7 linked regions of the Macaca mulatta genome follow. The protein of the gene in region 3 interacts with the protein of the main gene of each other region in a biochemical or structural test. Links are inferred from orthologs where the notes say so. Each region holds a gene or a part of one and is shown on either strand. Other genes may lie near its edges. The genes, in order: PANX1, GSN, CASP3, HCLS1, PTGES3, PARP1 and GZMB.

What was found.
Region 1: of the proteins of CASP3 (region 3) and PANX1, one has a biochemical effect on the other in vitro, tested with the Homo sapiens proteins (2 studies listed by IntAct). The link is inferred for Macaca mulatta from reciprocal best matches to the Homo sapiens genes CASP3 and PANX1.
Region 2: of the proteins of CASP3 (region 3) and GSN, one has a biochemical effect on the other in vitro, tested with the Homo sapiens proteins (2 studies listed by BioGRID). The link is inferred for Macaca mulatta from reciprocal best matches to the Homo sapiens genes CASP3 and GSN.
Region 4: of the proteins of CASP3 (region 3) and HCLS1, one has a biochemical effect on the other in vitro, tested with the Homo sapiens proteins (2 studies listed by BioGRID). The link is inferred for Macaca mulatta from reciprocal best matches to the Homo sapiens genes CASP3 and HCLS1.
Region 5: of the proteins of CASP3 (region 3) and PTGES3, one has a biochemical effect on the other in vitro, tested with the Homo sapiens proteins (2 studies listed by BioGRID and IntAct). The link is inferred for Macaca mulatta from reciprocal best matches to the Homo sapiens genes CASP3 and PTGES3.
Region 6: of the proteins of CASP3 (region 3) and PARP1, one has a biochemical effect on the other in vitro, tested with the Homo sapiens proteins (9 studies listed by BioGRID and IntAct). The link is inferred for Macaca mulatta from reciprocal best matches to the Homo sapiens genes CASP3 and PARP1.
Region 7: of the proteins of CASP3 (region 3) and GZMB, one has a biochemical effect on the other in vitro, tested with the Homo sapiens proteins (2 studies listed by BioGRID). The link is inferred for Macaca mulatta from reciprocal best matches to the Homo sapiens genes CASP3 and GZMB.

The regions. Positions count from the first base shown.
Region 1 is NC_133419.1:94,944,396-94,948,265, forward strand, and holds the start of PANX1 (pannexin-1), read left to right. Parts: upstream 1-1,352; coding exon 1,353-1,533; coding exon of another isoform or gene 1,534-1,586; intron 1,587-3,870. Other genes in the region: uncharacterized protein LOC114672334, read right to left, coding at 837-1,586. UniProt on the Homo sapiens protein: Ion channel involved in a variety of physiological functions such as blood pressure regulation, apoptotic cell clearance and oogenesis.
Region 2 is NC_133420.1:36,932,088-36,936,085, forward strand, and holds the start of GSN (gelsolin), read right to left. Parts: upstream 2,801-3,998; 5' UTR 2,743-2,800; intron 1,031-2,742; exon of another isoform or gene 899-1,030; intron 1-898. UniProt on the Homo sapiens protein: Calcium-regulated, actin-modulating protein that binds to the plus (or barbed) ends of actin monomers or filaments, preventing monomer exchange (end-blocking or capping).
Region 3 is NC_133410.1:193,076,818-193,080,974, reverse strand, and holds the start of CASP3 (caspase-3), read left to right. Parts: upstream 1-1,357; 5' UTR 1,358-1,425; intron 1,426-2,100; 5' UTR 2,101-2,268; intron 2,269-2,330; exon of another isoform or gene 2,331-2,364; coding exon of another isoform or gene 2,365-2,402; exon of another isoform or gene 2,403-2,490; intron 2,491-4,157. Other genes in the region: PRIMPOL (DNA-directed primase/polymerase protein), read right to left, coding at 2,365-2,402. UniProt on the Homo sapiens protein: Thiol protease that acts as a major effector caspase involved in the execution phase of apoptosis. Following cleavage and activation by initiator caspases (CASP8, CASP9 and/or CASP10), mediates execution of apoptosis by catalyzing cleavage of many proteins.
Region 4 is NC_133407.1:162,124,757-162,128,944, forward strand, and holds the start of HCLS1 (hematopoietic lineage cell-specific protein), read left to right. Parts: upstream 1-1,388; 5' UTR 1,389-1,500; intron 1,501-3,024; exon of another isoform or gene 3,025-3,045; coding exon of another isoform or gene 3,046-3,108; intron 3,109-3,979; coding exon 3,980-4,063; intron 4,064-4,188. UniProt on the Homo sapiens protein: Substrate of the antigen receptor-coupled tyrosine kinase. Plays a role in antigen receptor signaling for both clonal expansion and deletion in lymphoid cells. May also be involved in the regulation of gene expression.
Region 5 is NC_133416.1:63,860,573-63,864,717, reverse strand, and holds the start of PTGES3 (prostaglandin E synthase 3), read left to right. Parts: upstream 1-1,345; 5' UTR 1,346-1,594; coding exon 1,595-1,596; intron 1,597-4,145. UniProt on the Homo sapiens protein: Cytosolic prostaglandin synthase that catalyzes the oxidoreduction of prostaglandin endoperoxide H2 (PGH2) to prostaglandin E2 (PGE2).
Region 6 is NC_133406.1:84,166,520-84,170,693, reverse strand, and holds the start of PARP1 (poly [ADP-ribose] polymerase 1), read left to right. Parts: upstream 1-1,374; 5' UTR 1,375-1,542; coding exon 1,543-1,662; intron 1,663-4,174. UniProt on the Homo sapiens protein: Poly-ADP-ribosyltransferase that mediates poly-ADP-ribosylation of proteins and plays a key role in DNA repair.
Region 7 is NC_133412.1:97,735,497-97,739,660, reverse strand, and holds the start of GZMB (granzyme B), read left to right. Parts: upstream 1-1,364; 5' UTR 1,365-1,423; coding exon 1,424-1,580; intron 1,581-2,619; coding exon 2,620-2,767; intron 2,768-3,223; coding exon 3,224-3,359; intron 3,360-3,572; coding exon 3,573-3,833; intron 3,834-4,164. UniProt on the Homo sapiens protein: Abundant protease in the cytosolic granules of cytotoxic T-cells and NK-cells which activates caspase-independent pyroptosis when delivered into the target cell through the immunological synapse. It cleaves after Asp.

The sequences.
Region 1 (3,870 bases), on a different chromosome or scaffold from region 3:
CAAAACATTTTAGACTGTATGTTGTCACCCGAAGCCCGTGACTGTAACCTGTGTACCGCACCCTCCGATGAAAAAAAACCCAACTCCGACATGAGGGGTCCTCCTCCCTTTTCCTAAACTTTCTTCTAAAACCCTTCCAACGTGTAACACATTTTGAAACATGCCCAACTTTGCTGGTAAGTCTTCTTGGCTGGATCCTCACATTTAGCTTCCGATAAATCGAATTATTTCTACCTCAACAGCCTTAATTTCCGTGGACACTTGTCAGAGTATTTCCTCCTGTCTTTCTATCATCCACTTCCTGTGAGCTGTTCAGAAGCAGCTCTCTGCAGCCTCAACACCCAGCTACCTGCAGGCCGCCCCTCTGCTGGCTCCCAGAACAAGGCTCTGATTGGGATGGCAGAGGAAAGAGAAACGGGACCAGCAGCGCTACTCAGGCCTCAGACGGGTCATACTCCACACTCACCAGCGTTTCCACGCCACCATCTCACGCGGAGCTCCTGGAAGGGTCCAGCGCTCCCTCTGCAAGGGACCGTCTGTCTACACCGCTCGATTGGCCTTTTACGGCACTGACTCTTCTTTGAAGTTTTTACAGCTCCTTCTAACCCATTTCACTGTGTTGGAAATGTTAGGGGTGGGGCGTAAAGGGGGCCATCCCGTCCACAGAAAGAGTTGCTTGCAGAAATGATTTTAAAATTCCCGGGTGCCAGGACGTGAGGAGAATGCGGCCGGGAGGGACGGGAGAATTTTCAAAGGTGCCGCTCAGCGGGAAAATCCCTTTGTCGGAGAGCGGGCCCGAGGGGCGCTGGATGCAGCCGCGCCCACCCCGCCTCGCGTCACCGCGTCTCCGGAAGCTCCACGCCCCTGGGTACTCGGTTTCCCCGGATGGTTCCGGAAGAGCGCGGCGCGGCTGGCAGAGAGCGCAGGGCAGGCCCGGAGGCCTCTTCTGCAGCCGGGGCGACGCGTAGGCGCAGGGCCAGAGGGAAGCGCTTTGTCTCGCGCGTGGTTCCCGCGCCTGCGGGCGCGCGGGAGAGGCGCGAATCCGAGTGCCGCGCGCGCCCCGGGGACTTACACCGGCTGAGCGCGCGAGGTGGGACCGCAGGAACCGGAGCGCCCGGGTCCCCGCCCCGCCCCGCCGGCGGCGGAGGCAGCGAGCGCGAGAGCCCAGCGGGGTCGCTGGGAGCCGGAGGCACCGAGACACAAAGGCAGGCGGGATGCGAGAGCATCTGGGGAGCAGGTAAAGGGAAAGCGAAAGCCGCACGCCCGGCCAGTGACAGGGTGAAGGAGCCGCGCAGCTCTCCCGACGCCGGCAGTACCAAGTCCTGCCTGGCCGAGCCTGGCGCGCCGCAGCCATGGCCATCGCCCACCTGGCCACGGAGTACGTGTTCTCGGATTTCTTGCTGAAGGAGCCCACCGAGCCTAAGTTCAAGGGGCTGCGACTGGAGCTGGCCGTGGACAAGATGGTTACGTGCATTGCCGTGGGGCTGCCGCTGCTGCTCATCTCGCTGGCCTTCGCGCAGGAGATCTCGATTGGTAAGCCTCGCCCAGGACGGAGGGGAGTGGCCGCCCCGGTCTGGCCCGGTGAGCTGCGATTTTACGGCTCACAGGCCCGAGCCTGGGCACGCCCAGCTGTGATGGTAGTGAGCGTCAGGAAGGACAGTGGTCCCGGTTTTATGGTCCAAAGCGTTCTTTGCCCAGGTGTTTGTTTCATTGGTACCCTGGTCTACTCTGCTCGCATCCCTACTCCTCAGTTCTTTTGTTCCTTATGCCCCACTGATCGGATTGTGGCTTACAGTTTATGTTCCACCCTTAGAATGGGCACCTTGCCACCAGATTTGCCAAAAATAGCAGTGTCCCCGTTTTTCACCCCTGTCTCCTACGTACTTGTGCAACCGCTTAAAATTTTGCGCCAGAGAAGTTCCTGAGTGGCTACATGGAGAATGTGAAGACCGGTGCTCCATGAGAAGTGTGTTCTTTCACTATCTTACATATAATTGGTGTTTGCTGAGATCTTAGCTCTCTAGGGTTGTGCATGATGGGAAATATCTGCACTTGGCAGGCATTAGAGGGATCCTCCACTTGGACGGTCTTACGAATGTGAGATGAACAAGTCCCCTTCCTGTAAATTCTCATTTGAGCTTCATAACTGTTGTGTGAGATTGGAAAGTCTGGTGGTTTGGGCAGGATCATGTGGCTATGTGGCTTATCTTCCTCATCAGCTGTTCTGACTTTCCACACAGGAGAGAGTGTTTATGAACCAACAGGAAGGTAGTGCAGGAAGGTTAAATACAGTTCTGTGGCAGGGGGAAGAGAGAGGACCCATTGCGACTGGACTTTGGGAAAACTTTGTCAGAGGGTGGGTGGGATTTGGATAAGCAGGAGTAAGACCTTTGTTAAGGTTTTGAGATGGCAGAGAATGTTATATGTTCCTGGAAAGAGAGACACAGTGACCGTCCTAGCCAAAGCAGGAGGATAAGTCAGAGTTCCTGGAGTCCGAGAGTGAATATGGGCCTGGGTCAGCCTGGAACAGAAGAGTGTAGGCTGATGGTTTCAGAACTGTGAAGTTATTGTTTGAGCAGAGGACAGACTGGTTGAAAACAGCACTAAGTAAATACTAGCCTGATGGTGGCATTTAGGGTCTGGGAAGAAGGTGAGAGGATGGGGCCTGGAGGGCTGAGTGCCAGAGAGCAAGGCATCAGTTGAAGTCTTGTGCACAGCAGGTGTGAAGAGTGGAAGAAAACGGGTGGGTGATTGCTGTGAGATCAAGGAGTATATAAGCAGCACTTGAGTACCTAGTTTTTCATAGGCCATGAAGGGCAGTACTGGTTGAACGCGCTGTGGAGGTTGTATGTCTGGCTGATTGGAGTGTGGTGTTGGTGGGAATTGTGAAGTTGAGGGAAGAGTTGATTAGGAAAGAGTGATGGTGAGTGTGATTTTGCAGTCTGCAGCATTAAGTTGTTCAGTTTCGCAGGAAGTTGCCAAATTCATGGTGGAAAATAAGTTTTTCGTTTTCCTGCATTTGCATAGACATAGTCATCGGGATTTTCTTTAACTTTCCATTTGACAGTGAATTGAGGCTTCCAGCTGAAAGGAAACCACCAAGTAGCATGAGTCATGGAGATAATCTCTCCCTTCAGTCAATTCCTCCTTCAGTACTGGCTGTGTGCTGAACTCCGCGCTGACCTCCAAGCACCGGGGAGTAAAAGAGGCATGGTCCCTGTCTTGGAGGTGCACGTCTTGGGTACCTGGTTGGGACAGAAAGGCAGGAGGGAGGAGTTAGTCACCCTCTATGACTAATCTCCACCTCTAGCGCGTGTACTAGAGGGACTCTAAGGCACCTGCACCTGTAATGCCTTAGATACATCTAAATTGGTGGGCTGAGAGGTATTTTGGGGGTATTGGGAGTGGTTTTACCTAGCAAGAGTCTGAGGTCGTGCTGTGTGCATAGCACTGTGTGCTGAGGGAGGTGGGAAAGGATTTTGAGACCTTGTTCTTGCCCTGCCTTCTCCCTGCCCTGTGACAATTTACTATGCAGTTGGGCACTAGAACATATCTATTAGCAGGTAACACCATTCAGCTGTATGTAAGTCAGCACCCAGACAGGTGTTGAGCTATGAGCTCCAGGCTGGTGAAGGTTGGCAGGCACTTGGGTGAGGAGCTATTGAGCAGACGCCCATGTTTTCTGAAGTGTTTTCAGGAGTTCCAGGGGAGGACAGACATGTAGGATGAAGCTAACAGGACCAGGGAAGACCTATTAGATCAGGTATACATTTAGATAAAACCAGAAGAAGGGCTTTTGAGAAGAGGGGAGAGGTACATAGACTAATACATGGAGTTGGTACAGTGAGAGGGATCATGTTATGCAGCATT
Region 2 (3,998 bases), on a different chromosome or scaffold from region 3:
ACACCTGTGGTCTCTGATAAGCAAATATATACACTCAGAGACCACAGACATAGGATGTAAAAGTTTAATGAAAGAAAACCAGAGATCAATGTCTCAGCAAAGTACCATAGACCAAGCAGAAATCATCTCTATGACCCACATCACAAATGACCCAAACTATTCACATGGAGTAGGGGAAAGTGGCCCACTGTCACTGGATGGCTAAGAGTGAAGGCATCCAACCAACGTGTTTGGCAGAAGCGCACACACACCACTGTTAACAGTGGCGACCTCTGAGGAAAGAGGAGGGCTTGGGGGGATAAAAATTTATGTTTGAATCTTTAACAATATTTTTTGTTTGTTTTAAAACTCATGAAAAAGAAAAAAAATTACAATGCTGAATACCTTAGCAGCCTTCTCCAGTAGGTATAGCCTGTTGTCTGCTTTTAGATGAAATTTATAGCAGGTTCTGAGACCTTCAGCTGGGCTTCCAGAATCTGCTGCTCTGACCCATCCCAGTGGCCACGCTCTAGTTCAGACCTGCATTCTACTTCACTTGAATCATGCAACAGCCTCCTCAGGGCCTTTCTGCCTCCAGATCAGCCTGGTCCAATGCATCCCCCATATCGGCCATTCAGAATAATGAGTTTTTAAAAACCACTGCTCTGTCAAAACCCTTTCTCAGTTCTTCATTGCCTTCAGGATGAAGTCCAAACCTTTAGCTTATAATCTAGTTCCATTTTCATTTAGAGTCTCAACTCCCACCACCCCGCCCTTCTCCCATCCTCCACTCTAGCCACTTGGATGGCTCAGAAAACCTCAGTGCCTTTGCACAAGTGGTTCCTGCTTCTCAGAATGTCTTTTCCTCCAACTCCTGTTTCTCCTGGTAAATGATTACTCATTCTGAGGTCTGGGTCACCCAGACAAAATTAGTCACTCCGCCTGCAGGCTGAAGTCACTCTTAATATGGCACGAAAGTGTCAACCACTATAGATGACAAGCATCTTGAGGACAGAGAGCTCTGTCCTCTTCCGAGGCTATTGGGCCCCTCGCAGGGCAAAGCACAGAACACAGGTCCAGAGAAGGGCTGAAAGGAGGGAGGAGGGGTGGAAGGAAATGCCATGCAGGGCAAACTCTGCAGCCACCCCTCCTGGGAGCAGCCTGTTTCCAGGCTCATGTTAGTCCCTAATAAAAGGACTATAGAAAATTCTGGAGTAAACTTCCCTTCCCTGATTCACACAGAAACCTTCTTTGCTGCTGTGTAACTCACCGAATGCCAACCCAAGCTCCCCTGGCTGTTTACAATTTCCCTGGCATTTCTAAATAGCAAGGCCCCGGAAAGAAAAATGGAGTTTCAAAGGAGCTGAAAGCCGACCGTTCCCATCCCCATCCTTACTCCTCTGTTTCCAAGCCTCTCTCCCTTAACAGCCCCAGGAAACACCAACCAGCATCCCCAAGCGGGGGGGGGGGGGGGGGGGGGGGGGAGCGGTGGGGAATGCTTGTCCCTTTAGTGAACGGAACACCCAAGAAGGAGGCTAAAGTCCCTCCCAGCAAGGAATCCACAAAGAGCAGACTGGAATTGGGTCCCAGCCCTAACCTGCCTCACTGTGTGTCAACTAGCCCATCATAAACTCTCTGGGTCCTTGACTTTTAACTGTGAAATGGGGATGGGGTAAGATTCTAGCAAGCTATGGTCGCTGTAAAGGGCAGAGCGGTGAGAGTTCCTGGTGCCCTGGTCAGAAATGTGGTCCTGGGAGAACACGACACACAGGATTAAGTCTTTGAAAAGTCCCCAAAGGCCAAACAAAAGCGAGAGGCACCTCCCCAGAAGCCCCGCCTTCCACAAAGTCCAATTACCCTCAAGACAGCCTAGAATGAGTTCTGGGTGTTTTAAAAGCCCCTTCCATGCTCTGAGGAGGGTGTGAGGACAGGATAAAGCGGCAGATGTCTGGGCAGAGAAGGAGCTAGGAAGAAAGCCAATGTCACCTGCTCGCCCACACCCCCAGCCCCCAGTCTTCCGAGGACTGGCTCTTCTCCCCGGGCACTGCGCAGACCAGCCAACCTGCACTGGACCAGAGGGAAGTTGCTGTTATTTAGGTTTTGGGGGGCTGGATCCCAGAAGACATGGGGGATCAGGGAGAAGGGGTTCCAATCACTGTCTTCAACTCCGAAAGAAGCTTCCGTGTGAGTCAGGGAAGGGAACACTGCAGGGCCGGGGAGGAGCCAGCAGCTACAGGTAGCAGGCGCCCGAAGATTTCAGACAGTACAAGGAAGAACTTTCTAACAGTCCTCAGAAAGAGGAAGAAGCCGAAGAGGAAAGCAAGCACAGGTATCGTCCAGGAGGCAAGGGTCCTCTGAGTGGACTCCCCAGCGGGGTCACCGCCCAGACCGTAGCTGGTGGCCCCCTGCATGCCCGGCTCAGACACCCCAAGCGCGGGAGTGACCCCGGGACAGTTCCCCCATCGCGGGGGCGGGGTCGAGGTTATTAGCTCAGGTGCTAGCAGCACAGTGGAATCACGGGGTGGAGGCCTGGCCCCTCTCCTCTCCTGCTCCAGCGTCTCCCCATCCCCCTGCTCCCATCCACACTCTTTGGTCCCCTGGAAGACGGGAAAACTGAGCGCGGAAGCCCTTTTCCAGCGACCCCCGCGGCCGGGCCGAGCTCCAGGCGCGCGCGAGACAGGACCGGGAAGGAAGGGAGAGGAAGGGCTCAAATCAGCCCGGGACCCCCAGATGTCCGGGGCCGGGGCTGCGCGCCTCCCCTACCTGCTGCTGCGGCGCTGGAGACGGCGGCTGCTGGGTCCAGCTGTGCTCAGCTGGTTCCGGGCGGCGGGGCTGGGGCGTTGCGGTGCGCGCGGCCGGGGTGGGCAGGGCGCGGGCGGGAGCCGCCCTCGGGGCGGGGCGGCCCGGCAGGCGGGTGGGGGAGGAGCGCCAGGCCCTCCCGTCGGCTGCAGGGCGGGTGGCTCCAAGCTTGCCTTCATCCAGGGCGACCCCTCGCTTCACCTCGCAGGAAGGCACCAAGCCCTCTGCTTTCCCCTGGAGGAAACTGAGGCCTGGAGCACGGAGGGGAGATCTGAAGAGGCCTAGCGTCGGGGAGGAGACCCAGGGCAGCTCCTGAGCTGGCCTGGGGCCAAGAGCTCAGATGGGGCGGGCAGGCGAGCAATGCTCAACTAGCACCAGCGGAGGCCGATTTCAGCCCCGGAGAGGACGGACTTCAGGAGGCAAAGTGAGACTTCGGAGAGTGACATAGGCTGCACACAAAGCAAGGGAGATTCCTTCCCACGGAAGGGAATAAAGAGGAAGAGCGATTCCCAGCTCATTCCGAATGAAGTAACGAAAATGCCAAGTGCATCCCTGGTCCTTAAAGTGGACCATTAAGCAGGCGCCGTGGAGTCAGAAGGGCCTGGTTTGGAACCCCAGACATCAACTAGTCCTGTAACTTTGGGCAAGCGAGCTCACATACCTAAGTCTCCGTTTCCTCGTTTGTCAAATGGGCATCCTGGATTGCCTCTTCATGGGGCGGTTGAGAAGACTCAGTGAGAAAAAGACCCTCAGCACAATGACAAGGCACTGTGGCTTCTGCATAAACGGATGTTCTTATTTGTGTCATAGCAGATATTGTTTGAGGAGATTGAGGAAATCCACATTGGGCAGAAAGATGAGTTCAAGGTCACTTTTAAACAAATGTAAAACTTTGTTGATCTCAACAGCATCTCATATGCATTTGAGACGATAGCCGTTTATAATGTGGCAAGGCATAGGAGGGCCTCCCAACAGTCCTGGTGCACACGTGGGTTCCCAGGGCTCTTGGAGTTGCCGCGTGACTCCAATTTGGAAGGATTCACACACTCAACAGGAGACTGCACCACATGACAGAGATGTCCATTCCCAGCCTGGGTGCTGGCAGCAGCCTCATGTTCAGCCAGGGTAAAGCTCCATCTTAACACAAGATGAAATGTACTACAGTCTGTAATTGCCAGGTGCTGGGGATCAGAGCAGAAAAGGCTGTTGTTTAGCACAGA
Region 3 (4,157 bases):
ATAGGCGCAAGCGTTAGAAATAGGCTCTGCCATGGGGTCCCTGATCTGACTTCTGAATGTCAAGAACCTTTTGAAATCTGATGCAGAATGTCGTGCTCACGTGGTGGAGAATTCTTCTGCGAAAACGATTCACAGTTTGCTTCAGGGTCTAAAATGAGTTCATGACCCAAAATAGGAAGGGGATCAGTACGGCAGTGTATAGCACACCCTTCACGTAACTATTAATAACTCCATCTTAGGAAAAGACTCCATTTTATATTTCATAGGGCATTTGCCAACAAGGATACTATACTTTAATAAACAAGTAAAAAACTAGTCCGCATCCACTCAGGTAAGGACACAAACAAGCGCCCTCTTCCACTGTCAGTTCTCACCCGGACTCTGCCTTCGGCAGCTCCAAACAGTCTTAATTGACGCTGTCTCTGCAGAAGGACCTCTCGGGCCCAAACCAGGCTTCTTCTTCTCTTCTTCACTCCCTCTGGATTGGTTGTTCATCTCTTTGTCCTCTCTCTTTTTTTCCTCGGGATGTTAAATGCTACTTTGTTTGCTGTGGGATGCTTAACATGTAACGTTTATATATGGATTAAGTACACTACTGCGTACGGTTTGTAGTACTGACTGATGCGCGGAGTGGCTTGAGCCCGTGTGTCCAGCATGCGTGGACCTGCTTATTACTAGCCCGGCACCCTGGCGACAGGAGGCTAAGGCTTTTGATTTAGGGAGAGGGACCTGGGGGTAACCCCAAGAAAGGCCTCAGGTCACCGGAGGGGGGACGGAAATTACCGGAGGGCGTCCCGGCCCGCTCCTCTTCTTCTCAGAGCTCACACTGGGCAGCAGGCCTGGCCTTGTCTCCCTTCTAGGTCCCCGTTGGGCCTGGCGCGGTTTCCAAGTCTTCCTCAAATTACCTCCAGAATCCCGCGCTGGGAGCGGAAGCCCGCGGACTCTCAGGAAGACCCAGCTTTCAAATCCGGGGCGGGGGAGCGGGGCCGGGCCTCGGGGGCGGGCCTCGGGGGCGGGCCTCGGGGGGCGGGGCCTGGCGGGCCTCGGGGGGCGGGGCCTGGCGGGCCTCGGGGGGCGGGGCCTCGGGCGCGGGCGCGGGCGCGGGCGCGGGCGCGGGCGCGGGCGCGGGCGCGGGCGCGGGCGCGGGCGCGGGCGCGGGCGCGGGCGCGGGCGCGGGCGCGGGCGCGGGCGCGGGCGCGGGCTGGCGGCTCCTGGGGCCCAGCCCGGCCCTGGGTTCTCGGGCGGGCGGGAGCTGGGGGACGGGCCCCAGGGAGGGGGCGCGCGGGGCCGACAGGGGCGGGCCGGGGGCGGGGCTAGCGCTGGAGCACGTCCCCAGGCGGCGGGCTGCTGAAGCGGTGCAGACGCGGATCGTAACGGGTGGCTGCTGCTGTGAGGCGGTTGTGGAAGGTGTGAGAAGGCTGTGCGGTGAGTGCCGCGCTCGCTCCGGGCGGTCAGCCCTGTCCCCGCTCCCTGCGTCCTCCCAGGCCCAGCGCCCGCCCGGGGACCTGGGCGGCGGAGCCTTTGTTTTGCCACCTCACCCGGGGCGGCAGCGAGCAGTGAAGCCCGGGGCCGGGGCCGGGGCAGCCAGGCAGCGGGTTAAGGCTTTTGATTTAGGGAGAGGGACCTGGGAGTAACCTAAGGAAAGGCCTCAGGTCATCGGAAGGGAGACCTGACCCGGGGGCGGGAGGCTTGCCTGGGGCCGGGGAGGCCAGGCAGCGGGAGGCCGGCCCGGGGGAACCGAGGCCGGGGCCGGGAGGTCGGGCACGGGGCACCGAACTCCGAGGGCCAGAGACCTGGCGGCCGGGCCTGGGGCCAGGAGGCCGGGCCAGGCAGCGGGAGGCAGCGGCAAGCTGGAAAGCAGACGGTGCTACCGCCGGCGGAGGAGTGGCCCCGGGAAGCGGTGCGGCGAGGGCTGGGGCGGCCGGGTGCTGACTGTGAGGGACTCGCCCTCGGGGCTGATCCTTCCAATTTTGGGCGAGGCTTCCGTCTCTGCTGCCTTCCATGCCTGGGGCCTGGACTATCCCGGGTTGACTGTGTGGTTTAGCTCTTCCAGAGAGCTAGTTGCAGGGTTTAAAATCCAATTCCTTTTCGGCCCTGCAGAGTTTCGTGAGTGCTCACAGCTCATCCCTGTGGCTGTGTCTCCGTGGCCACAGCTGATTGGCGTCGCCTTGAAATCCCAGGCCGTGAGGAGTGAGCGAGCCCTGCTCGCGCTCGGCGCTGTTGTTTTCAGTGGGTGTGCTCTGCACCTGCGTCTTTCCCCCATTCTCAGTAAGTGGCACCCAAGCAGGAAACCGGAAAACATCCTTCTCGCCCCCCTCTCGCCCACCTACTTCTTTTCCCGCTTAGTCACCAAGCCTTGTCGACCTTGTAAACGTCTGCCAGGTCTGTCCACGTCTCTCCATCTCCACAGCAGCCTCTTCCCTGGTCTCTCCACCTCCAGACCCGCCTGCTCCTTTGTAGTCCACTTTTCACAGCACAGAGGGATCTTTATGAAATGAAAGTCTAGAAAGCGCGTCCTTTGCCCTTAGGTTAAACCCAGCACTTAATACGGCTGACAAACCCCAGTACGTGTTGGGTCCTGAGTGCCCCCACCCCTCCCTATCTTTAGCACCGATTCACTTTCTGCACAGCAATGCTGACCTTCATAGCTAGTGTCTGCCACACCTCTGCATTCCCCTTCTCCCGCCATCACATTTGATTAGAAGTAAGAGCTGCTACTTAAACTTCTGTTTTCATTAAAACAGTTCAAGGTTCAATCTTCCTCTACTGTGTTCTTTCTGCAGCCAGCGTTCCCTAAGAGAGATGTGTCATATCCTCTGCAGTTGCTTGTTTACTGTCTTCCCTGCTAGATTTGCAAGCAAACTCCAGGAGGGATGGACTTGGTTTATCTTGGTGTCCTTAGAGTCTTTCACCAAATGCGGGCCCTGGCACAACGCAGTGAATGCCCATCCGTTGTGTTTTTACTTTTATGCCCTATCTAGAAAAAGTAGACCTGGTTTAGGATTATTTAGCAAATAATAGTTAGAAAAGAAATGGTAGAGGTGACATGGAGTCACTGAAACCATGTAAACCTGCAAGATAGCAGAAAGAGGGCCAGGAAAGGTGGTTAGACTAGACTGTATCAAAATGGGCTCAGCCACTGTGAGTGTGCGTGCTGTGGTTACATCATCTCTAAAAGTGAAATGTAAAGCTTAAATCATCTCTATCACAGCCCGATGCTTGGGCTTTGGTTTTGCTTTGCCTTTTTGTAAAAGAAGGTTTTTGAAAGTGAAAATATATTTTAGTGAATGCACGAACAGTTTATTGGAGTATGGCAATAAAACCTGTTCAGAGTAAGAGACATTAGACATTGTACCTAGTTAAATCAGGTTTGCTTTTGCTATCCTGAATAAAGGCCTTGACTCTTGCCTTTTGAAGAGACTGGCATCTGATATAGGCAGTTATAATGCTTCTTCACTGTTTTGCTTTCAGACCTCATTTAACACAATCTCCTACTGCTTCATCCCCCTACAAAGCAGTCTTTATTTTCATGAATGATATATTACATTGCTTCTGGTGCCTACTATTAGATGTTTAAGCTCTGCCCCAAAGATAGGAAGCACTGGTATTTGGGCCTAAAAAAAGATGTGAGAATTCTTAGATTTATATAATGTTCTTTCTCTGCATGTTTTGTTCTTACCTTCACATGTTGCCTGTAGGGCTTCTTTGCATTACAATAATGCAATCAAGCTACCTGATATGTATTGGACACCGTCTGGCATCTGCTTTGTTGAGCCACTTTTGAATGCCAGTGAACATCGGTATAAGCCCTGCATAGAGATAGGGTTTGTCTCGTCCACTGCTTGATACACTCAGGGTCTAGTATAGTACTCTGCACACAGTTGGTGTTCAGTAAATTGTTATGGTGCAAATATCAAATGAATAGATGCTACTGAATCTGACTTTTGGCAGTTTCAGTCTTCCAGACAGTAGGGTTTCTTCAAGCGGTTTTAAACCTGAATCTGATTCTGCAAAGTAGTCATTCTTGGTGGGAGTGGTGAGCCTTTAATGTTATCTGTAATTTTTATAAAAAAGCATTCAAGATCCTCCATTTTACACTTATATAAATCATTTAGATCTGTGAAGGCTTTCCCGTTTTCTCCTTTTGTCCCTCCAAA
Region 4 (4,188 bases), on a different chromosome or scaffold from region 3:
ATGAACTTGTGACATTTGCTAAAGAAAGATGGGGCTTCTTGGTGTCATCTCTGATTAATTTCTAGTTTCTCCAGAGAACTATGTACCTGGATGGTGTGTCACAGTATATAGTCTAATTCGTATTTTGACACTACATGAGGATTCCAAGTGATTTTACAAGACTATTTTCCCTTCTACAAATGTACTCTTCCTTATAACTTCGGTACCATCACAATAAATAGGTAATAAAGTAGGAGGGATAAATAAAGCTCCCCCAGGCATAGAATCCTTAGATTTGGAAGTGACAGAGGCTTCATATTCCTAATGCAGAAAAGTGCCTGTATCATGGGCCAGTTTCATCTAGTCCTGCTTAAACTCCTTGGAGAATGCACCGTTGTGAACAAATCAAGAAGTCCACAGACAATCAAGATTAGGAGAGGCTAGGTCAGATACAATAACAGACACCCTCAAATTCGCAGTAGCCAAAACAAAGGACTATTTAGTGAAAGACTCCAATTCCCTCACATGGTAGATGGGGCTCCACTTGTGTTCTTTCTCACTCAGGGACTCAGTCTGCTGGAGGAGCCAACATGGAGAATTGCAGGTTGCCTTGGGCAGTGGTGAAAGAGCATAGCAAAGCTTGCAGTGGTCTTACAGTCTCCGCCAGAAAGTGGCATCTGTCACTGGCCAAAACAAGTCACCTCAGCACGTCTGACTTCAAGAGGGAAGGGAGGGGCAGCAAGTCTTGACACGCATTGAAACAGGAGGCCACAAAGACCTTCCATCAGCTGACCAGCACCTGGTTCTTTCAGAATTCTTCCTAATATCTGGAGCCAAATCTTTAGTTTGTTAGCTCAGACTCCACAGTGCCCCAAACAAGCTAGGAAACTTTCTCCTTCCATGTCTTGCCTTTTCCCTTATGAGTTATTCCTTCTGGCATTCAACTGGTCGATGTTTATTTGAACATCTATATGAAAACTCCACTTTTAAGTGCCGTGGGTAATATAGGGGTGAGTTTCTTTTTAAGTCTCATGCTTCAAAATCCACATATAAATGACTTCTCCCATAAAGCCTTTCTTGATGAATACATCCCATACCAAATGCTCTGAATTCCTTTACAGTCTCAAACGTAACTGCCACCCTATTTAGGATACAGTGCTGTTCTATGGAATTCTCTAATATGTTTTCTGGTTGAATGTTTGTTTCTCTCACTAGATTACAAAGTCAGAGTCAAAGCAGCATTTTCTATGACTGCCCTATGACCCCCATTGTCAAAACCTTGCAAAAAGACCAGGCACAGAAACATTTAATCCTTTTAAAATTTAAGTGTCTAAAGCAGAAGGAACTGACTCAAATTTCAGGAAGTAGCTGTGAGGATGGGGTGGCAGGAAATGACGAAAACCTGAATACGGAACTGAAGCAGCAGCTCAGTTTCTCACTCCGAAGTGGCAGCAGCCAGAGAGGGAGTCGGTGTGGACGCAAGGAGCCGGGCGCTTAGAACAGAGGCTCGCACAGGTGGAGGTGGGTACTCTGAGCCATGGGACAGTCGGGAAACACAGTAATTGTTGAGGAGGAACCTACCTGGCTCTTAGTCCTTGGTGATGGGCAAGGTCACCACTAGTAGGCTTTTATCCTTTTATGGCCAGAAGGCCTGGTTGTGAGTGGTTGTAGCAAATCAGCATCTGGAGATAGAAACAGAAGGGAGGGACTTAAACTCAAGGCAAATGATTCAGGAGCCATCTAGCACAAACGTCAAGCAAAGTGTTGCCTGGTTTCTGCTGACAATCTACAACCCAGTCTAAGGCATGTCTCCCCTAGGTACTGAGTTGGGAGGAGGACCACAGGAGAAGAAAACAGTGTCTGCCCTTGAAGAGCATATGGTCTCAGGGAAACAAACCCACATAGGAAATGTAACAGATAAGGAAGTAGTCACTGATGTAAAGTAGCACTGAGTACCAAGTGCTGATGGAGCCCAAGAGAAGGCATGATGGTTCTGCTGGGGCTAGTTTCTGTGATTGTAGATCACAGAATCCCCGAATGTCAGAAATCAAGGAGACGTTACAGATTAGCTAGGTTAACCCCTTCATTATTTTCCACTGGGGAAATCAGAGATAATTGCTGATTTGGCAAATTATTCAAGTTGGTATTTATTAATCGCCTGGTCTCATACCTGGCAAATGAGTACCTACTCTGTTGATGCCCTTGTGATGGTCTCTCAGAGGCTTAGTCACAGAGCTGGGGTGACAGCCAGGGCTTCTGACTCCCAGTCCGTGTACTTTGATGCAGGAGGTCAGCATCGCAACAAGGCCTCACCAGATTACTCTCTGGTTCTCACCTCTAGATAGCACTTCTTACCTTTCTGGTTTCTGGTCAATAGGTCAAGGATATTAGATAAATTGTCTCTATTTCGGAAACTCTTTATTTCAAAAATGGGTGAATGGGAGAGTCAGGCTGAGGCCTCAGAGGAGCCACAGGAAAGAGGATGGGACCATCAGTCCTCATTGCTTCCTTATTGCTCATGACTATTTCAGAAACTTCTCCATTCCAGTTTTGTGTGTGACAGTCCTTTTGTTGCACAGCAGCCCAGGAGCCAGGGGATGAGAAGTAGAGGGGTAGTAAGGATGCAAGATTCTAAGTCTTGTTTTGCTGTCTCCACCCGCGTCAGGGAAAGCCGAGCTGCTTTCAGCCGTGACTCACGGCTGACTCAGTCAATATCTGCCCAGTGTCCCCTTAGCATCTCTTTAACTGATTTACCCCAGGCTTCCCCTGGGCTGGTTTTTAAGGGGTTGCTCAATGGAGAAGATGGAGTTTTCAAGTGGAAATAGAAAACTGGAGAATCTGAAGGCCTAGGTGGAGACAGGAGAACCCGAGGAGTAGTTGTAAAGGAACTCTTTGGAGACAATGGAGAGCATGAAGAAGGTATCCAATGGGATGAGGTGTCTGAGGAGGGAAGGGTTGCCAGCTAGCAAGTCGTGCCAGGGTCAAGAAGTCTCAGTAGCGACCATAGCAGATGAGCATTGTCTGTTGTTACTTCTTCACACCAAGATCCACAGATGCAGAGCAACCATGCTGCTCTTCCTTCTGCACAGTCCAGAAGGCCGACTAGAACACTGGGGATGCTCTAGCAGAGTAAGTTTGGCACCCTTCCAAGCTAGTGTTCTCTAAATATTTCTGCAACATTTATTTAGTTGATAAAAACTGAATACCTCTTAATGTTCAAAATAAGATTTATTATATATGATTCTTTTTTCTTTTCTATGATAAATTGTCAACTTGAAAACATGCTATTTTTTGAACTACTTTTCTTTAGAAATATAATTGAACCATTTTTTAAAAATTGAGTAATAACTGACTTATTCCCAGCAAATAATGCTTTCCCATGCATTCTTCAGTGTGGAAATGTCAGCCAACTGTCCCTACTGACCTTATGCAGCTGTGAAGTGACCAGTCTCAGGGTGAAGGTGGGACACCACTTGGACAAGAGGCTGGAAAAATTCTCAGTATAGTTCAGCAGGTTGTAAAGAGAGACGTAGATGTTCACTTGTGAGAAACTGAACCAATTGGTATTTCAACAGTGACAAAGGAATCGTATATAGAAACCTGAGTGAAATGAGGCCATAATTCTAGGGATATTATAGCACCCCTCATTGCCAACCACCTTCAGCCACTGCCTGGCTGGCCTCGGGACACAAGTGAACAATTCCAGCAATTTTGACTTACAGGTTACCTAGTGTTACCCACACCCATGGCAACTTCTCTCTAGCTCCAAGCGGGCCCAGGCCACATTGGTTTGTCTTGAATAAAGCCCTATCTCTCCTCTTGTAACTGAGCAGAAAAGCCTTCCTACAACTCCCATTTGCTTTGCTTCATTTTCTATTTTCTTCTAAGAAAAAAAATGGCAGGAAATATTGGGCTTCTATATTTTGACTTCAACATTCCTATTTTCCCTCCTCTTGATCCTTTTTTGTCCCTAATTATTCCCATCTCCTGTCACTCTCAGATGTGGAAGTCTGTAGTGGGCCATGATGTGTCTGTTTCCGTGGAGACCCAGGGTGATGATTGGGACACAGATCCTGACTTTGTGGTGAGTTTGGAAGTAGCTTTGCTTGAATATTGCAGAGAGTGGGGTGGCGAGGGCATCTGGGCAACTCTGTGACCTTTGAGGATGCTTGGAAAAGGGCCTTCTGGGACTGAGACAGCCCTCTTACT
Region 5 (4,145 bases), on a different chromosome or scaffold from region 3:
CCACCGCGCCAGGCCAACTTCCCTTTTTTTTTTTTTTTTTTTTTTTTTGAGACAGGGTCTCACTCTGTCGCCCAGGTTAGAGTGCTCCCTGCAACGTCCACCTCCTGGGTTCGAGCTATCCTCCCGCCTCATACTCCCTAGTATTTGGCATTACAGGCGCGTGCCACCACGCCCTGCTAATTAGTAATTTCAGTAGAGATGGGGTTTCACCATGTTGGGCAGGTGAAACTCCTGACCTCAGGTGATCCGCCCACCTCAAGCTTCCCAAAGTACTGGGATTACAGGCGTGAGCTATGGGCGCCCGGTCCAAAATGGCATTTGAGCTAGGGTCCAGTTTTCGTAGCTCCCACTACCTGTCGTGCACAACATAGACACTAAATACCTTATTGCTTATTATGAAGCCCCGTTCTTCAGAAACGTTTTATAGCACTTTCGTTAAACCTCCTTCCTGTTCATAATGCAGTGCACTAGAGTATTTTTCCCATACTCCACCGTTAAGTGGCCTCTTGGTAAGCAGGACTGTTTTGGGTCTCTTGGTTACTATCCCCTAATACACCCTATTAGTGTGTTGCACGAAGCGACGGGGAACCCGTTCTCCCCCAAATGATGTGCGTGGAGACACCCAATGTCCTAGCCTCTCCATTCCCAGAAACCTAAGACTCTCCCACCAAATATCCTTCCTGTCTCATCTACAGCACTGAGGTCTCAAGGTAGGGGCAAAAGCCCGCCCCAAATGGCAAATGCTCCTCCTCCGCCAAGAACCTCCAATTTCCGCTGTCCCTAGACAGAGCCTCCAACCTTCAGAAAAATGGCGAGGTAGACCCAGGCCCTTGATTCTGAAGTGAGCCCTTTTCCACAGCACAGCCTTTTCACAGGTTTTTGTGGTGGAATGATTCCTCAGTGAACTGATTTACTCCCTCAAGAGTAACCAACGCTCCATTTTAGTTCTATAGGATCCTGACTCCGTGTCCCTCCGCCTCGGCCTTGCCTCCCACTGCCAACGCAGCCGTTTCTCAGAGAAATCGCCCAAGGCGCATGGCCGGGCAGTTGGGACACCAACGGTTTTCTAACGCGAGAGGACAGCGAGGGAGGAGAGGCGGGAACGCGTAGCGACTAGCAGGGGGCGGGGTGGGGGTGGGGTGGCGGACGAAGGGCGGGGCCGACGCCAGGAAGGATCGCGAAGGAGCTGGGAAGCCCCGCCCTTTCCGTAGATATCTCTAGAAAGCCGCGCCGGACCCCGAAAACAAGGACTGCGCACGCGCGGCGGTAAGGCCCGGGCATTTTGCTGCGTCACCAGCCGCCGCCCGGCCTCACCACCCCTCGTTTGCACGCACGCACGTTCATTCTCCGTCCTCGCGCCCGTTTTCCTACACTTTCCTCTTCTCCCCGACCGGAGGAGCCGCTCTTTCCGCGCGGTGCATTCTGGGGACCGAGGTCGAGCCCGCCGCTGCCGCCGTCGCCTGAGGGAAGCGAGAAGAGGCCGCGACCGGGGAGAAAACGCGGAGTCGCCACTGGAGAGAAGTCGACTCCCTAGCAGCAGCCACCGCCAGAGAGGCCCGCCCACCCGTTCGCCCGTCCCCCTGCCCCGTTCACAATGTGAGTGCGACACCCCGCCGAGGGAAGGTCGCCCAGAGTGAGGCCGAGGCCGCGTTGGGGGCTCCCTGGAAGCGGCCCTTGCCCTCCCTCTGCTTTTGGCCCCATAGCCTTTCTCGCATCGGTGGTGGCAGTCGTTCCTGCCTGGGGGCGGGAGGTCCAGGATCCTTGTTCCGGTTACCGTTGGCGGGTGGAGGACATTTTTCCTCCAGATGTCTGCTTCCCCCACCCCTGAAACGTCCCTTGGCTTCCCTATACCGGAAATCCTACTTTTTCCCTCTTTGGCTGTCTGGGCTACTGGCTTCCTTAGGTAACTTCACCTTAGGCCTTAAGCTCCCCGGAGCTGCTCGCCATGCGGCGCCGTGAAGCGTGAACCCTCGTGGGTCGCCTCGGCTGCTTGGGCGCTCCGGTTCTGCTGCTTTGTGGTCCCCGGGCCAGGCCCTGAGTCGAGTGCACCTGTGGTGGGTGCCGCCAGTTGCCTGGCGGAGCTCCTGGGAGAGCCCCACGCGGGCCTAGCCGTGAGCGGCAGGTACTGCTAGGCAACTAGAGTGAAGCCATGCCCACGCCGCAACATACTTCTCTCTCCAGTGTCTGGGTTTCTTGAGTGTGGGTACTTGAAGTCCGCCTCGTAACTCCAGTCTCTTGAAAACACGGGAGGTTGCCAAAACTCAGCCGCTTCCCTGGCAGCGAGGAGGAGTTACCGTTGAGCAGGTAGTTCTGCACGTGTCTGCTTTGGAAAGACACGGACATTTTCTGTGTTCCATGTTAAACCTGAGGTGAGGTTTCACTATCCTGTAACTGTGGGGTGAAATATGTATGTAATAGGCGTGTAATTAACCTACTGTTGTCCTAAAGAGTTTAAATTTGTGTTGAGATTCTATGGTAGTCTTCATTTTATGATGATAAAGGAAACCTCGGCGATTTTAACCGAGTAAGAATTCTTGGCACTGCCACGTACAGTGGGAACTGCCGGTTTTACAGGGTTTTGTTTTAGTTTTTGGTTTTTTTTTGACGGGAGGTTATTTTTTAAGGTACTAACTGCGTCCTAAAAGGTATGGAGAGCAATTAAGGGGGAACCTTTTTTTAAAAAATATTCCATTCAGAAGAGATGAGAGGGAGTGACTTTGTGGAAAAGTAAGAAGGGTTTGCTTGATTCAAAGTCATGATACTGACGGCTAGAAATCTAAAGGAATGAGTGAGGGATACACTGAAGCGAAGTTTATCACTGGAAACAAGCTTCTAGAGCACAGCATGTTAGAATTTTTGAGGGAGCCCCCTCCCCGAGAGTGATACGTAATCGGGGTTTTTAAAAGTTTGAATCAGGCTGGGCGCGGTGGCTCACACCTGTAATCCCAGCACTTTAAGAGGCCGAGGTGGGCGGATCACCTGAGGTCGGGAGTTCGAGACCAGCCTGACCAACATGGAGAAACCCCGTCGCTACAAAAATACAAATATTAGCCGGGCGTGGTGGCACATGCCTGTAATCCCAGCTACTCGGGAGGCTGAGGTAGGAGAATCGTTTGAAACAGGGAGGCAGAGGTTGTGGTGAGCCGAGATCTTGCCATTGCACTCCAGCCTGGACAACAAGAGTAAAACTCCGTCTCAAAAAAAAAAGTATATAAAATAGCTTTTGTTTTTCCCTTTGAAATCTCTCATAAGTAATGTAGAAGGGACATCAGTCTTAACCTTTCATACTCTGAAAATCTGTAAGGGAAAATTTTTGTCAGATAAGGCATTAAGCAGCTTTTAATAATAGAGCCAAACAACATATCTTTTCGTGAAAAATGTTTAAAATGGGCTCGAAGTAGAAGCACTTTCTGGAGGGCACATGAGATATCTAAATAGGTAAGGAACGGCTAAGTTAGGAAAGTAAATTTAAAAACTTGGGTGAAAAGTGTAAGGCCAGGCGCGGTGGCTCACGCCTGTAATCCCAATACTTGGGAGGCTGAGGCAGGTGGATCACGAGGTCAGGAGTTAGAGACCAGCTTGGCCAATATGGTGAAACCCCGTTTCTACTAAAAATACAAAAACTAGCCGGGCGTGGTGGTGCACTCCTGTAGTCCCAGCTATTCGGGAGGCTGAGGCAGGAGAATCGCTTGAACCCAGGAGTCGAAGGTTTTAGTGAGCCGAGATTGCGCCACTGTACTCCAGCCTGGGCAATAGAGGGAGACTCCGTCTCAAAAAAAGTAAGTGTAGCAGTAGAGAGACAATTCCAAAAAGCAGCCTCTCTAGTTAAAAAAAAAAAAATGGTACCTTCATGCCGGGCGCGGGGGCTCACGCCTGTAATCCCAGCACTTTGGGAGGCCAATGCGGGCGGATCACGAGGTCGTGAGATCAAGACCATCCTGGCTAACACGGTGAAACCCCGTCTTTACTAAAAATACAAAAAATTAGTCAGGCGTGGTCGCAGGCGCCTGTGGTCCCAGTTGCTGGAAGCCTGAGGCAGGAGAATGTCGTGAACCCGAGAGGTGGAGCTTGCAGGGGGGATCGCGCCTCTGCACTCCAGCCTGGGCCACACAGTGAGACTGTCTCAAAAAAAAAAAAAAAAAAAG
Region 6 (4,174 bases), on a different chromosome or scaffold from region 3:
CTTACTGATTACTAACTTTTAGGATTCAGCCTATGTCTCACAACCTTCTTGCTTACTCAACATACTTATCTCTTAAGCTACTAGCTTCTTCTCTATGGTTAACACTTTTTATGAGTTTTATTCATCCACTTATTTTTCTTATCCTCTACACCAGAATTGAATATTTTCAAATGCAGCACACTCATGTTACAATCTTTGAAATGAAAAAAAAAAAAAAGCATAGGATTAGAAAAGAAACCAATTTTAATCAACTGTATTTTAAAGTATAGTTCCATATTAAACAACATGATCTAGGCCAGCTGCAGTGGCTCATCCCTGTAATCCCAGCACTTTGGGAGGCCAAGGTGGGAGGATTGCTTGAGGCCAGGGGTTCAAGACCAGCCTGGGCAACATGGAGAGATGCCCCATCTCTTTCTTTATACACACACACAGAGAGAGAGAGAGAGAGAGAAAATATCTGGTAGCAACAGGTCTAGTCATTACCACAATTTTGAGTAGTGATGAGCTTAATAATATTTTGAGTTATCACCAAAATAACTGTAAAGTAACATGAAAACATCTGTGATGACTATTGCCCACAAAGTCACAGGTACTTCTAATACTCCTGGGATTTGTAGTCAAATTCATAATAAAGGAAATGCTAGGTTTCAGTTGGTATTTTGTCCCGACGGTGTATGGATGGCAGGTTGGAATGCCCGTCCAAGCCAGGGGACCTAACACTGCAGGGTCCACCTAGGGCCGATCAACTATATTCCCTAGGGGGGCCTGCTATTCCCGGACCCAGCTGCCCTCAGGGGAGAGAGGACACACTTATAAAAAGAGTTTGGGGCTGGCTTGGTAGTTCACTCCTGTGACCCCAGCACTTTAGAAGGCTGAGGCTCGAAGATCACTTATAGCCAGGAGTTTGAGACCAGTCTAGCCAACTTGGCGAGACTCTATCCCTAAAAAAACAATTTTTTTTTTATTAGCCAGTTGTGGTGGTGCACGCCTGTAGTCCCAGCTACTTGGGAGGCTGAGGTGGGAGGATCGCTGGACTCAGGAGTTCCAGACTGCAGTGAGCCATGATCGCGCCGCTGCACTCCAGCGCAGTGAGACTCAGTCTCAAAAATAAAAGGTGGAGGGGTTGGGGGTATAATTAGTTATGAAAACAGGTAAGACTTCCTGGGACAGAACGATCAAAGGGGTGGCGCCGGGTCCTCCAAAGAGCTACTAGCTCAGTCCAAGCCCCGCCTCGGCCCACAGGGTAGCGGGCCGTAGAGCTCCACCCGCAGGAGCCCGGGAAACTCCGCCCCCCGGCCGGCAGGGGGCGCGAGCGCCGCAGGCCCCGCCCCGTGGACGTGGGCTCCGTGGGCGTTTCCGCTGCCAGGCATCAGTAATCTATCGGGGAACCGCGGTGGCCGGTGCGGTGTGCTCGGTGGCGGCTCTGGACGCTCAGGCGCCTGCGGCTGGGTGAGCGCACGCGGGGCGGCTAGGCGGCGAGGCGGCGGCGTGTTTCCAGGTCGTGGCGTCGGGCTCCCGGAGCTTTGGCTGCAGCTAGGGGAGATGGCGGAGTCTTCGGATAAGCTCTACCGAGTCGAGTACGCCAAGAGCGGGCGCGCCTCTTGCAAGAAATGCAGCGAGAGCATCCCCAAGGACTCGCTCCGGATGGCCATCATGGTGCAGGTGCGGGCCGCTGTGCGGGCGGCGGGGCGGGTACGCGGCGCCCCGGGTTAACTGTGTCCGGGAAGGCTCGGGGAGTGCGGGCCCGGGGAGCGAGCGGACCTGGGCTCTCGGAACGGCACTTAGGGCCTGTGGGGCCGTGGCCGCCTCTCCTCCGCCGAGCGGCCCGGCCGACCCTTCCGGAAGGTTTTGCTGATGTTGCAGGAAAAGCCCGGGAAATACAGTCTGCAGCTGGTGCTGCCTTTCGCTTTGTGTAAACGAGAAGCCGCTTCTCTCCTCCTTTCTTGGTGGTGGTGTTTTATTATTGCCGTTCGCCTCAGGGATTGGGGGTGGGGGGGAATTGTACATGGTCTCTTTAAGCTAATCTGATTTTGACCTATCTTGTTCTGGAAGATTTTTGTCCTACGTGGATGGTGGCGACTGGCATGTGGGGATTTTTTTTTTTTAACCTATTTTTGGCCGTCATTTCAACACGTCATTTTAACGCTCACCCTCATTTTTCATTTTAATTAGGCAAAACTATGCAGAGAGGTGTCATTTCTGTACAGTGCATTCACTTTGAGCCTAATATGTGCTTTAACATTTTCCCCAAATTTTCCAGGTTCACAGACGCGTTCTCGGTGCACTTGCAGCTGTCTGGTTTGAGTAAGAGTGGCTCCAGGGGGGTTTCTCATGTGGGCTTTTTGATAGATTGAGGATCGATCCCCTTTTGAGATTTCCTGAGGCTTCTGTGAGGTGGTGGGCTTGAAGGCCCCTGTCATTTCCCAGGGGCTCCTGCCTCCAGCTTCCAGTTTGCTGATGTCTGCCTTTGTATGAATAATTCTGGTTCTCACCTGCCCTGTTCCTCCTCGCTTCCAACACATTACCCAAGCTTAGTGCTCATGGTCAAGGTAGCTTGATTTTCCTCCCTACCATGAGCTGTAATGTGTTTTAGGAATGACCAGATAGCCCTCAGTGGATTTTCAGGACTTAAAGAGTACAAGGGAGGGCGACATTTACCGAGTGGATACCCAAGTGCCAGGTGTACTTCCGTTATCTTATTTCACAATATGTCTGTCATTTCGGTGTCCTTGGGGCATACCTAAGTCAGTACGTGGCACACAGTGCTTATTTGGTAGATATTTGTTAAGTTCTAAGCACTCTGTTAGGTTTTAAGGACACAGAATCCACCTTTGGGAATTTCCAGTTTGGTTAAACGGGAATTGACTGGTAAACAAACATTGCCGTACAGAGGGGATGGATGCCACCTGATGGAACTGTGCTCCAGGCATTGTGTGCCTAGGAGTCCAAGATGACCCACCTTAGGGTGGAAGGTTGATTAGGAGTCGTTAATTCACAGAAGTGGAGCAGAAAGATGAGGATAGGGAAGTAGACAGGGCCTACAATTTGAAGAGCCGTGTTTCCCACTAAGGAACCTGGAACTTACCTTAAATATATAAGGCAGCCTGTTCTAATGAAGTTCTCACTCCTGGTGCAGGAGCTCTTAACCCCAGGGTCCGTAGGATGGTAGATAGAATGCAAGAGGTCCATGGGTTTAGATAAGAAAAAATTGATATCTCCATCTCCACTAACCTATAGATAAAATTCATTATTTCCTCTAATCATAAATGTAAGCAGCAAAGCAAAGGCATATTAGCAGTCCCTATGATTTTTTTCACCAGCGGTAATTACAGATATTTTCACTTTACAGTTGGGAGTTTCTCAAAATATAATTTACTCTCATTGCTATAAAAATCACAGTTGTTAGAGGCAGTACTAGATCTTGTTATTTAAAACTTTGAAGCTCACGGGTTACTGTACGCAAATTACCTTTCAAATGTTTTGATAATTATTTGAGTATGTTTCCTTTTCGAACTTTTTTGTTTGTTTTGTTTTTTGAGATGGGGTCTCACTATGTTGCCCAGGCTGGTCTCAAACTCCTCAGCTCAAGTGATCCACCCACCTTAGCCCTGTAAAGTGCTAGGATTACAGGCGTGAGCCACCATGACTGACCATTTGCGAGCCTTTTTATTATGCATTTTTAAATGTTATTCCGAGAAAGGGACATCCACGGGCCGTAACAGGTGGGCAGAGTACCGTGTTCTAGTGGAAAGACAGAAAACCCAAGTTCAGGCAGTGTGTTGAGGCTAGAACAACACCACTGTGGAGGAAGTTAGAGGAGGCTTAGTTAGCTGTGGGGGAGGCAGGATGGAGGAAGCTGAACCTGATCAAGTTTAACATTCTGGGGCCAGGCTCGGTGGCACACGCTTGTAATCTCAGCGCTTTGGGATGCTTGGGTGGGCAGATCACTTAAGCTCAGCGGTTCAAGACCAACCTGGCCAACATGCTGAAACCTCATCTCTACAAAAAAAATGCAGTGATTAGCGGGGCGTGGTGGTTCATGCCTTTATGTCCCAGCTACTCTGGAGGCTGAAGCTGGAAGATTGCTTGAGCCTGGGAGGTGGAGGTTGCAGCGAACCGAGATAATGCCACTGCACTCCAGCCTGGGCGACAGACCCAGACCCTGTCTGAAAAA
Region 7 (4,164 bases), on a different chromosome or scaffold from region 3:
ACTATAGTTGTATTAACTAATAGATTTCTACAATTATTAGTAGAATAATTTTAGAAATGCTTAATTTGTAGGGTTAAGCAAGGATAAAATAAACTGCATTGTCTGTACAATGTGATCCCAAGTATTTAAAACACACTGCTTATGGTAACAGTCAGTCTGTGGGAGACAGATTAATAAGTGATATTTTCCCTTCCTACTTTCCAAATTTTCTTAATAAACATATGTTATGACTATAATCAGAAAAAAAATATTTTTAAAACGTCTACTATGGGGCAAGCTAGGTTCAAAAAACAGAAGTCTGATAAATGTAGTTGGCTTGCTATTGACAAGGAAGACATTTACACTGGAATTCTATTTTTGAGATATACCATTCTTCATAGAAAAATTGTAAAATACAGAAAATACAAAGATGGAAACAAATCACAATAATAAAACCACGTAGAGAGATTTAGTTTTTTTTTAATAGAATTGGGCACAGGCTGTTTAGAAACAACCATCTTTCACATCCATCATAACGATAGCATTAGTGTAGTTTGTTTAGCAAATGTTTACTGTGTGCCTATTATGTGCTGAGCCTGCTATGTAAGAAGTGTGGCTCTCTGGACAGGAGACAGAATACTAAAAAAGACAACTACTTATCTTTGGCTGCCTGGCATGCTTCCTCACTTCACATGGTATCAGCAGTTTAGCATTACAAACGTCCTTTAGAGAACCAGCCCTTTCTCATTCTTGGTTCTAGTGGCTTGAGTGGACTGACCCCAGCCTACCCAAAGTGGATTCAACTCCTAGCAATTCGTTAATCTAGCCCAATAAAATGTCAAGTACAGGACTTTTATTGAAAGCGTTCAGAAAAGAGGTGAACTCTCACACTAAATATTTGTAACTAAATAAAGGATGTTAGAAATTCCCTAGAAAGGAAGCTATGATAATAAATGGGTTGTTAGATGGGTCTAGTAGATGGTGGCCATACTTTGTTACTACCTTGTGTATTGCTCTACCATGGCCCTCCCCAAACTGTACTCTGGCTCCTGGCATTTGTCTCTTCAACCAGACGGTCAGCTCTCTAAGGGAAGGAGACACATCTCCAACATGCTTGGTTCCAGCACAAACTGCTAAAGAAACTATCCTGATGGATTTAGCAGCATGGCCTTGAGGCATTGGGGTTCTATCACTGGGAACTCAGGTTTCTGGTGCTTCAGTACCTCTACTGGCTGATACCATATCCTACAGTTCACTTCATATGCTTGGGTTCCTGCTCTGGGCTGAATAGGTAGTCTACTCTGAGTCATCAGCTGTGGGTGCTGATGTGGTCACTGCATGATTTTCACACAAGCACCCAGAGGACGTCATCAGGCAGAAGCAGTGGGGGTGGGCAGCATTCACAGAAACTCTGTGATGAGACACCACAAAACCAGAGGGGAACATGAAGTCACTGAGCCTGCTCCACCTCTTTCCTCTCCCAAGAGCTAAAAGAGAGCAAGGAGGAAACAATAGCAGCTCCAACCAGGACAGCCTTTCTGAGAACATGCAACCAATCCTGCTCCTGCTGGCCTTCCTCCTGCTGCGCAGGACAGATGCAGGTGAGTGATCGTCTCCACCCTCGGGGGCCCAACCCCATCCCATAGGTCTCCTGCCCTTTCTCCACATTCCTGATCCATCTATCTACCAGGAATGTTCTGAACTCCAGCTCCCATTGTACCAAGACCCCCCAGGTGTGATGCTGGATAAGCTATCAGCAGGAATGGCAGAGCAGAAGGCCGTTCTCAAGAAGAGCCAGTGGGTACTATCCCCTCTCCAGAGCCCACCTTTGTCACCTGGAGAGTGAGACTTTCCTAGAAGTAAATGGCAGAGGATGGGAAACTAGAAAAGAGAAATATTAAATTATTCTAGAGTAGGCCTGGCTTCTGTTTCTGGGATAACACAGGTCCTTCTCTCACCGTCTACTTAGGAGAGAAACCCAGAGCTCAGCTGACAGCAGAACTGGTGCAATCACTGTCCTCAGAACACTGTTAATGTGTTTGCTCAGTCCCATTCTCCAACTCTGCTTTTCTTCCCTGGCCTTTGGTGGCTCCCCTCTTTCCAAGAATGAGGCACTATGGCAAGCCTGAACTTCCGTTTTCTAGAATTCCACCAGCACTGCTCTGCCAGCCCTCATCCAGAGGCTAACTGGAGCCAGTCCATCATGCAGCCATGAACATTTATTGGGCACCCACTACATGTCAGGCTCTAGGAAATAGCATATGACAGTATCTAGATCCCTCCACTTATGCCCTGGCTATTAGAAAGCAGCACTATCCTAGAAACCATGGGACTCATAGGTCTTGGAAACTCACCTGAAACAAAGCAAAGTCAGGAAAGGAATGATCAGGAGCCTCTGGGATTTCACTGTCCCTAAGACAGGTATGCTTGCCTTCGACTACATATGGAAGAAAGATTTACAGACCAAAGTCTGCTGTCCTTCCCTTTTACAGAGCAGGAAATTGAAACCCCTTCCTCCAGGCCCCTCCCAACTCCAGGCTATCCCAGGTTCCCAAATGCCCAGGAATTCTGGAGCCATCAAGCAGGTGCCCACCCAGCAGATTCCGTGGGTGCACACAAGCAGAGAGACTTTTCCTTCAGGGGAGATCATCGGGGGACATGAGGCCAAGCCCCACTCCCGCCCCTACATGGCTTATCTTATGATCTGGGATCAGATGTCTCTGAAGAGGTGCGGTGGCTTCCTGATACGAGAGGACTTCGTGCTGACAGCTGCTCACTGTTGGGGAAGGTGAGGAGCAGAAAATAGCCCATACTTTCCCGGAAACACTCCACAGAGACCCCTGCCTTCTTCCCAAGGAGCTCCTTGGGCTCCTGGGAACACATATGCCAGGAGGGCTCCTTAGAGGGTGAGAAAAGGGCAGGTAAGTTTGTGGAGAGGGGGGAAGGTTGGTTCCAGAGGCGCTGCTGAAGTAAGAAACAGCAGAGTGACCAACCCTGCCATATTTAGAACCGGGGGCATACTTTGGCATAAGAATACAAACTGAAGCAATTCCACTGGTGTTTCAAGGGGGAACCGACCCCTGAGAAACATGGTGCAATTACCAGAATTCCAATTCCTGGGGACAGACTGTCCCCTTAATTTCCCCTCAGCTGCAGCCCTGCCCCAGCTGTCACCTGCTCTTCACTGTCTCTGGGCTGTGTCCTCTGTGACTCCGCCCCCATCCTCACTCTGCTCTCTGTGCAGCTCCATAAATGTCACCTTGGGGGCCCACAATATCAAGGAACAGGAGCGGACCCAGCAGATTATCCCTGTGAAAAGAGCCATCCCCCACCCAGCCTATAATCCTGAGAACTTTTCCAACGACATCATGCTACTACAGGTGAGGCACACTCCTGCCACTCTTGCTCTTCTTGAGCAAGAAGTCCAGTTGGTTCCACTCCCACTGTGATGCAGGCCCTTCCCTCCTTTCCATCCTGGCCTTTTGGTTAATTCCTGTGCCTCAGAGGAGAGAGAAGACAGCATAGTCCCATCACTGTGTCAGGGCCCAGAAGTTCATTGGCTGACCTGAACTTTCTTGCCTCTTCCCCACCAGCTGGAGAGAAAGGCCAAGCGGACCACAGCTGTGCAGCCCCTCAGGCTACCTAGGAACAAGGCCCAGGTGAAGCCAGGGCAGGCGTGCGATGTGGCCGGCTGGGGACAGACGACCCCCGATGGAAAATACGCACACACACTGCAGGAGGTGAAGTTGACAGTGGAGGAAGATCAAACGTGCAAATCCCGCTTAGGCCGTTATTACGACAGTACTGTTGAGTTGTGCGTGGGGGACCCAGAGATTCAAAAGGCTTCCTTTAAGGTGAGACTATGCATCTACCTGGATTGGCTCTGGGGAGAAAGATGTTTGGGGAAGATCTGAGACCTGCAGACCTAAGTAGTGGGGGACTCCTTCACCCACTAGACTGTGATCTTTCTCTCTGGAAAGAGAAAAGGGGACTAGACAGAGCTGGGGAGAAATTAGGGCCTCTGCAAACTTACAAGGAGGCTTATGGTGGATGGTGCTCCTTTGGAAGGATGAATTTGCAACACTCTACCCACTCCAGGTCACAGATATTAGGAAACTGTGCCCACTGGGAATGCAGTAATTATAACCAGGTGTGTCTTCAGAGGTCAGTACCCAACGTGGTTAA